Diceros bicornis minor: one gene and its partner. The protein of the gene in region 1 purifies or fractionates together with the protein of each later gene. This does not show direct contact. Links are inferred from orthologs where the notes say so. Each region holds a gene or a part of one and is shown in the gene's direction. Other genes may lie near its edges.

Region 1 (3,907 bases):
GGAGGCAGACCGGATTCCTACGTGAAGGAGGGCGGAACCTGCTGAGAGGGTCACACTGATAACGGCTGGGCCACACTGAGGGGAGGAGTCACGTTGAGGGGAGGGGTCACAATGACAGAAGGAGTCACTCCCACACGAGGGGTCTCACTGCGTAGGAGAAACACACGGAGGAGGGGTGTAGAACTCAGGGTTCTGGCACACACTGACGGTGGCAGTGTCTTACTGGGGAAAGGCCCCTCTCAGGGGAGGGGTCTCCGAGGGGAAGGGCTCCTGGAGGGGCGGGGTCTTGCCGAGGGTAGGATCTCGCGGAAGGAGGGGCTTCCCTGCAGGAGGAGGCTTCTCTTTGGAGAGAGGGGGTCGTTTGGAAGAAAGAGCGAGAGGAAGGTCCAGGCGGGCGGTCACTGGGCGGAGGCACTGGAATGCGACCTTTATTCGAGGGAAGCGGGATGGAGTGAGGAGGAGTCGGGGCCACGCCGGGGCTGGGCCGGCCAAGGGCTCACCGCAGCCCCGGGGCGTCACGGCCGCCCGCGAACGTGGAAGGTGTCGGGGGTCCAGAGGTTTCAGGAGTAGGGCGGAGACCGGGAATGGGCCGGCGGGGCCGGGGCGGCGGGCAGGTTGCTGGGCGGCCGCCGACTGTGGCTGGGCCTGCGGGGCTACTGTTCTGCCCCGCTGGTCGGTGGAGCGGAGACAGCGGGCGGCTCCCTGAGCCCGGCCCTCAGCCGACAGCGTCCTGAGGACGGCCAGAGACATCCGAGCTGCGCGTACGCACAAGCAGCCCACCGTTCCAGTCAGTTATTCCGCTCGAGCCTGAACTTACTTGACCCCGACGCCCCAGCCCCGCTCGCGTCGCGGCCACCGGTCGCGGGGTGCGCACCTGGGGGGCGTGGCGCTGCCCCGAGGCCCGGCTCGAAGGAGTTAAGCGGAGGCCCGGCCCAGCCCCGCCCCCAGCAGGCCGCGGAGCCTGAGCCCCAGCGGCGAAGCGCAGAGCCGCCGCCCGCCCGCCCGCCTCCGCCTGCGGGAGCCAGCCCGCCTGCCCGCCGCCGCCCGGAGCGCCACCGCCGCCGCCCGGCCCAGGCCAGGCCCAGGCCCAGGCCGTGCGCAGAGAGGAGCGGCGCGGCGTCCGCCGGGCCCAGCGAGCCGGCGCGGCGGGGGCGGGCCCAGGACCTCCGGCGGACCTTCCATTCTCCGGGGCGGGAGCGGAGTCCCGGCGCCCGATCGGGCTGGGCCCGCGCCCATGGCTAGTGGGGCCTGCCCGGGCCCCGGGGACCCTGCCATGTGAGGCAGGCCCGGGCTGGGGGCCCGGCCATGGCCGGGGAAGGCCCCCCACTGCGGGGCCCTGGGCCCGGGCCGGGAGAGGCGCCGGGGGAGGGGCCCCCGGGGCCGGGGGGCGCGGGCGGAGGCCCGGGCCGGGGCCGCCCCTCCTCCTACCGGGCCCTCCGCAGCGCCGTGTCCAGCTTGGCGCGCGTGGACGATTTCCACTGCGCCGAGAAGATCGGGGCCGGCTTCTTCTCTGAGGTCTACAAGGTAGGACCGGCAGAGAGGGCAGAGGGGCGGGACCGAGCCTTAGACGGGAGGCTGGAACTGAGGCCGGACTGGGGCGACCCGCCTGGGACTCGCCGGCCTCTGCCGCCCCCAGGTTCGGCACCGACAGTCCGGGCAAGTCATGGTGCTGAAAATGAACAGGCTCCCCAGTAACCGGGGAAACACGCTACGGGAGGTGCAGCTGATGAACCGGCTTCGGCACCCCAACATCCTAAGGTGAGCGGGCCCCAGCCGCTTGCTGGGAAGCTTGCTGGGGGAAGGGGAAAGATCCCGCCGGAAAAGTGGGAACTGTGGAGGGACTGGGGCTCTCACAGCCTGCCCTCCTATCTTCCCCATCCTCTTCCAGGTTCATGGGGGTCTGTGTGCACCAGGGGCAGCTGCACGCTCTTACAGAGGTGAGGATGTGCCAGGAAGCCCCCCCCCCAAACAAGGGGAGAGAGAGTCAGCAGCCCAGTGCATCTGCAGAGGAATAATGAGAAGCAGCAGGACCTTCTCCCGGGGAGGCTTCCCTGAACTTCCCTTTGGGCAAACCACAAATAAAAGGCCTCAGCTGGTCCCATCCTCTGTGTTCTCTAGAGCAGTGCTGTCCAATAGAACTTTCTGCAGTGATGAAAATGTTCTATATACCTGTGGTAGCCACTAGCCACATGTGGCTAAGGAGCCCTGGAAATGTGGCTAGTGTGACTGAGAAACTGAATGCTTAATTTTATTTAAAATTAATAATTTAAATAGTTGCACATTTATTGGACAGGACAGCCCTAGAATATGAATGGGGGATCCTAGAGCATTGGACTCACTCTTCTCACCTTTGCAATCCTCCTGAGTGTCCCCTGGCTTATAAGTGAGAGACGGAAACTACAGACTGAAACCTTGACATTCATTCCCCTTCTCCTCCCCCTATGCCACAGTATATGAATGGGGGAACCCTAGAACAGCTGCTCAGCTCCCCCGAACCCCTATCCTGGCCTGTCAGGCTCCGCCTGGCTCTGGACATCGCCCGTGGCCTGCGGTACCTGCATGCCAAAGGGGTATTCCACCGAGACCTCACATCCAAGGTAGGCTGGCCAGGTGGGTGGAGGCATGAAAGGGGACTTGAGACTATTAGGTTGTAACTAGCCCATGGATGTAGGATGTTGGAGTAGCAAGGCATTGGAGAATGGGGGTCTGGGGTGAAGGGGAGTGCCCTGAGGAAGTGAGTACCATGCTGTGTTTGGAGCGATGGATGATGTTGCAAATTGGGGTGCATGGGAGGACTGGGAGATAGAAAGGGTTGGGGTGACTCGGGAGTGACAGGGCTTTGCAGTGTGTATTAGGAGATCAGGGAGCAGAACGTGATGGATGTGTGGGGATGCTATATGTGTATGTCAGAACTGTCTGATCCGACGGGACGACCGAGGCTTCACAGCTGTTGTGGGTGACTTCGGCCTGGCTGAAAAGATTCCTGTGTATAGGTGAGGTGAATGCCCCTGTCCCCCCAAACCTCCCAGGAAGCCCCTATCTAAGTGAAGCCCCCAGGGACACTTCCCTTGGAGTGGGGAGGGGGCTGACCTCATGCCCTTTTGTTTCCGGGGGGGGGGGTCTGAGTGGGATGTTTCTGACCACTCTGCCCCTGCTCCTACAGGGAAGGGGCAAGGAAGGAGCCATTGGCTGTAGTGGGTTCTCCGTACTGGATGGCTCCAGAGGTGTTGCGGGGTGAGCTGTATGATGAGAAGGTAAGACATCGACCCTTCAGACCCCCAAGGCCTTCCAGAGACCCTTGAAATACTTACAAGGCCCCATCCCAAGTTCCTCAACAACCCTACCAGATATTCACGAGACCCTCAAGATCCCCCTTGCCCCTCAAGGCACCCCTCCAACACATGAAAACTGTCAAGCCTCCCCTCTGAATTCTGACATATTCTGACAAAATTCTGACATGAAAACTGTCAATTTCTCCCCCTGACATTTACTCTTACCCCCAGGCCGATGTCTTCGCTTTTGGGATCGTCCTCTGTGAGCTCATTGCGCGAGTACCAGCGGATCCTGATTACCTACCGCGTACTGAGGTGAATGATGTCTCCGGGTTTGAAAGGAGGAACTCCAGACTGGGCAGCTCGTAACCAAGGAGGGCTCCCTGGAGGTTCAGGTCCTGATTAGGGGGCAGAAGGAGAACCCAAGGAAAGCTGACTTGGAGGCCCCTCCTCTCTGTCCCCGCAGGACTTTGGCCTGGATGTGCCTGCTTTCCGGACCCTTGTAGGGGATGACTGCCCACTGCCTTTCCTGCTCCTGGCCATCCACTGCTGCAGTGTAAGAGCTCCCTCTCCCTCACTGCCCTCCGCCCCCATCCATCAGCTGACAAGGCTGTCCTGTCCCAGCTGATGGGAGG
Region 2 (3,907 bases), about 30 Mb from region 1:
GTTTGAAATAGGATATTTGAGCAGTGAGAAGAGCTGCAGACCTCGAATTCCATTATGTCAATAAATTTTTGCTATAGTTTCAGAAAGTAGCTAAAAGATTTCACCAAATTGGCCTTTCACTTGTACTATCAGATCCTCTCTACGGCTCCCTGAGGTGGGTATTACTATTCCCATTCTAGAGATGAGGAAACTAGGGCTCAGAGAGGGTAATGAACTTGCCAAATGTCAGGGTTAGTGCTGGAGCCTGGGTTTGAACAGGAGTGTGTCTGACTGCTTCCCACTCTGCTACCACAGCTCTGGACTCCAGGAGCTCCTGCGGTTTCCTTCCTTAGCGATTTCTTCTGTTTCCTAGGACACGACTGTCCCAGTCCTCCTAAGTGATCACCAGGGTCTCTGAAACATAGACATAGGTGAGCCACCTCTCCATTTTCAGGAAGCCACAGGGCCATGGTTATGATGGAGACCAGAGATAATGCATATGAACACGTCTAACTCAGGGCTGGTGTCTAGAGTTCATTTATAGCTAGGAATAGCACCACACTTTACAGAGGACCAGCTCTGCGCTGCGCACCGAACACCTTATATACATGAATTAGCTCATGTATTCCTCATCACCTTGTGACAACAATCTTATTAGCTCCATTTTACAGACAGACGCCCAGAGAAAAGTAACTTCCTCAAGAGTAGATACTCATGGATGAACTTTTTATTCCTTGCACTTTTTACAAATGTATCTGGTTATTGCTTTTTCTGTTTAATCTCTCTCTCGAGTTAGATGGTAAACTCCAGGAGGCCAGGGGCCATGTCTGTCTGGTTCAGCATAGTGCCTGCCATAGTTACAAACACTAATTATGGGATGTCAGCTGTTTAAGGCGCCAAAGCTTGAACTGGCCTCAAGACTTCGCAGGGAGATTTCACACCGAGGAAAGCATCCTTAAGTCTCCCTTTCAGAAACCATTTCTAACACCCGCTGGAACTGAAAATATCCTAGCCCCTTTAGGACAGCCCAGCCGTAGGAGTAACTTGGGTCCCCTAAGTGGACGCCCAACCCCTGGCATCTCGCTTGCAGTCGTTTCCAAGTAGCCCTGGCTTACTTACTCCGCCAGGGAGAGACGGCCCGGCCTGTCAGGTTCCGAGAAACGCGCAGACCGACAACACCCCAGACCCGGAGGGCCCCGCCCCGGCCGTGAGGCGAGGAGCAGGGGAGCGGTTGGCCGCCGCGCTCTTCCGGGGTCTCGGGGCGGGGCGAGGGCCAAGACCCGCCCCCATTGGGGGCGGAGCCACGGCCCGGGACTGGCCTGAGCCGCCGCAGGTAATGCGGTCTCCGGACCTAGGGCCCCAGGGTCGGACGCGGTGCCGGGCGGGGGCGGCCGCTTCTTTAGGGGGATGGGCCCAGGCCCAGTGGAAAGCGCTGGGGAGGGCGTCCTCGGACTCCAGCTGGGCCACTTGGACGGCAAGGAGCCAGTCTACTCTCTCCCGACCCTGGCTCCTGTCCCCTTTCGCTGCCACGCGGGGTTGGGACTGGGGGATGGGACTGGCAGGGGCGGCTGTAGGACGTCCCCGTCCATGCGAAGTTTACCCCCGTTGAGCTCTGGGCTTTGAGAACAGCCGTCAGTGGCTAGGCTGAAGGTTGGGTTTATGCATTCATCTCTCAGAAATCTCATCCATTTTCTTTCTTCATTCGCTCCTCCCTCACGTCTACTCTATGCCAGGCCCATTGGTAGGTTCTCTGAATGAATCCAGCAGGCCCAGCTCTCTTGTAATTTAGTCGAGTGGAATTTAGTCTAGAATCTGGTCTAGAGACTGTTAAATAGATAATTACCTTCAAGGTGATCCCTGCAATGATGGTGGCTTGATAGATATCTTCAAAGGGAGAAGGAAGTAACGGGGATGTAAGTGGAAAGCAACAAATCAGGGAAGGTTTTACTGAGGAGGGGACATTTGAACAGGGTTTTGGAGGTTGACTAGGAGTTTGCTAGTTGACAGGAAGGGAAAGGACTTTTCAGGTAGGAGAAACAGCACAGGATGCAAGTTATGAAATGGCCTGCCACATTAAAGGAACAACAAATGTAGCAAGAACAGCTCAATATAGCAAGAAATTGTGGAGGTGGTTCCTGAAAAGAATGTTGAGACCAGAAGGCTTTGAATGCCATGCTGAGGCCAGGATTTATCCTAGAGTTCAGTATTTCTTAAACTTTTAAATTATTTTATCTTTTGATAAACATAAACATCTTATGACCTCTGAAAATTTATTTTGATATTATATGCCCCTTCCCATGAAAATCACAGACATAAGAAAACTTTGGCTAAAAAGCTTCTGTAATTGTGTTAAGAAAGCTGTGTTACATTTGCCTCCCAAATATGTTTATATCAAAAGGTTGGTAATGCTTATTCAAATTAATCAGTCCCTAGAAATTGGTACATCAGCAGGAGAGGTTTTAAAGAGGAGAGTGACTTCATTTCTTCTGTGTTTCAGGTAAAAGATAATCGTGAATGTCTATAAACTGCCTTTCTTTCTCATGCATAGGACACCATGAAGCAGCTGCCAGTCTTGGAGCCTGGAGACAAGCCCAGGAAAGCAACATGGTCTGTAAGGAGGGATTCAGACAGAGAAAAACATGAGTTTTTGTTTCATTTATAAGTAGTTTACTAACATATTTGATCATAAATGAAAAAGAGTAGAGATGAAACTGTCTGCGGTTTCTGGTAATTAGACTCAAACTGTCTGAGAAGGTCTTCAGAGGAAAGATAGTGGGACAATAATGATCACAGAGCAGATGTTGATTTTATTAAAATCCATTTACCAGGAAGTGTAAGGCACTGACCATCTGGCATCCTCAGCTCCAACGCTGTGTCTTCCCCCACGCTCTGACTCATTTTTAAGATTTTCAGGGAATTGGATTTGAATTAAACTGGCTTCCCTGTCTCTTGGCTGCTTGCTCAACCAACCCTTCATTCAGCAACTAACACCTGCCTGACAGGGGCAGCTGCTGTGTGGGTGCTGCAGGTACAAAGGTGAATCGTCTCAGTGCTCAGTGTAGTGGGGGCTACACACTAAGCAGGTGATGCTTATGCAGTGTGATCAGTGCTGAAGCAGGGCTCACAGAAGGCTGTAGAGAGGAAGCTCTGCTTCTGCAGGACCTCGGAGGAGAGTCTCTGTTCTGGCCTTCCTGCGTCCACTCTTGCTTTCTGCCCAACAGAAATCTGATCACGACATTCTCTTGTTTAAAACCTTTTGTGGGGCCGGCCCTATGGCTTAGCGGTTAAGTGCACGCGCTCTGCTACTGGCGGCCCAGGCGCACACTGACCCACCGCTTCTCCGGCCATGCTGAGGCGGCATCCCACACATAGCAACTAGGAGGATGTGCAATTATGACATATAACTATCCATTGGGGCTTTAGGGGAAAAAAGGAGGAGGATTGGCAATAGATGTTAGCTCAGAGCCGGTCTTCCTCAGCAAAAAGAGGAGGATTAGCATGGATGTTAGCTCAGGGCTCATCTTCCTCACAAAAAAAAAAAAAAAAGAAAAAACCTTTTGTGCCTCTCTGTTGGTCTTAGGATACAAACCAGAATCCTTAAAATGGCCCACTGAGCCCTGCATGATCTGTCCCTGCCTGTCTTTCCAACCTCAAATCCCCTTCTCATCCTTTGTTCTCTTTCTCTTCCTTGCATGCCTTGCACTGTGCCACTCAAGAACTGTATATGCTGGTCCCTCTACCTGGAGCAATTTTGCCCTCTCTCCATATTTTATCCCTCTCTGCCCAGCTAACTTCTACTCATACTTCAGATCTCAGTTCAAATGGAAGCCTTTTCTGACCATCCTCCCTCCCCCATCTCTCCCCACAGGGTTAGATCCCCCTATGATATGTTCTCCTATTATGTATCTTGTGTATATCCCATACTCCT

Evidence for each region.
Region 2: the proteins of TESK1 (region 1) and RABEPK purify together in Homo sapiens (affinity purification with mass spectrometry; 3 studies listed by BioGRID and IntAct, with this or other methods). This does not show direct contact. The link is inferred for Diceros bicornis minor from reciprocal best matches to the Homo sapiens genes TESK1 and RABEPK.

Annotation. Positions count from the first base shown.
Region 1 is NC_080767.1:4,053,966-4,057,872, forward strand, and holds the start of TESK1 (dual specificity testis-specific protein kinase 1), read left to right. Parts: upstream 1-1,133; 5' UTR 1,134-1,305; coding exon 1,306-1,524; intron 1,525-1,636; coding exon 1,637-1,758; intron 1,759-1,888; coding exon 1,889-1,937; intron 1,938-2,450; coding exon 2,451-2,597; intron 2,598-2,910; coding exon 2,911-2,993; intron 2,994-3,163; coding exon 3,164-3,254; intron 3,255-3,503; coding exon 3,504-3,587; intron 3,588-3,738; coding exon 3,739-3,828; intron 3,829-3,907. UniProt on the Homo sapiens protein: Dual specificity protein kinase activity catalyzing autophosphorylation and phosphorylation of exogenous substrates on both serine/threonine and tyrosine residues.
Region 2 is NC_080767.1:33,602,609-33,606,515, forward strand, and holds the start of RABEPK (rab9 effector protein with kelch motifs), read left to right. Parts: upstream 1-1,373; 5' UTR 1,374-1,705; coding exon 1,706-1,720; intron 1,721-2,527; coding exon 2,528-2,586; intron 2,587-3,907. UniProt on the Homo sapiens protein: Rab9 effector required for endosome to trans-Golgi network (TGN) transport.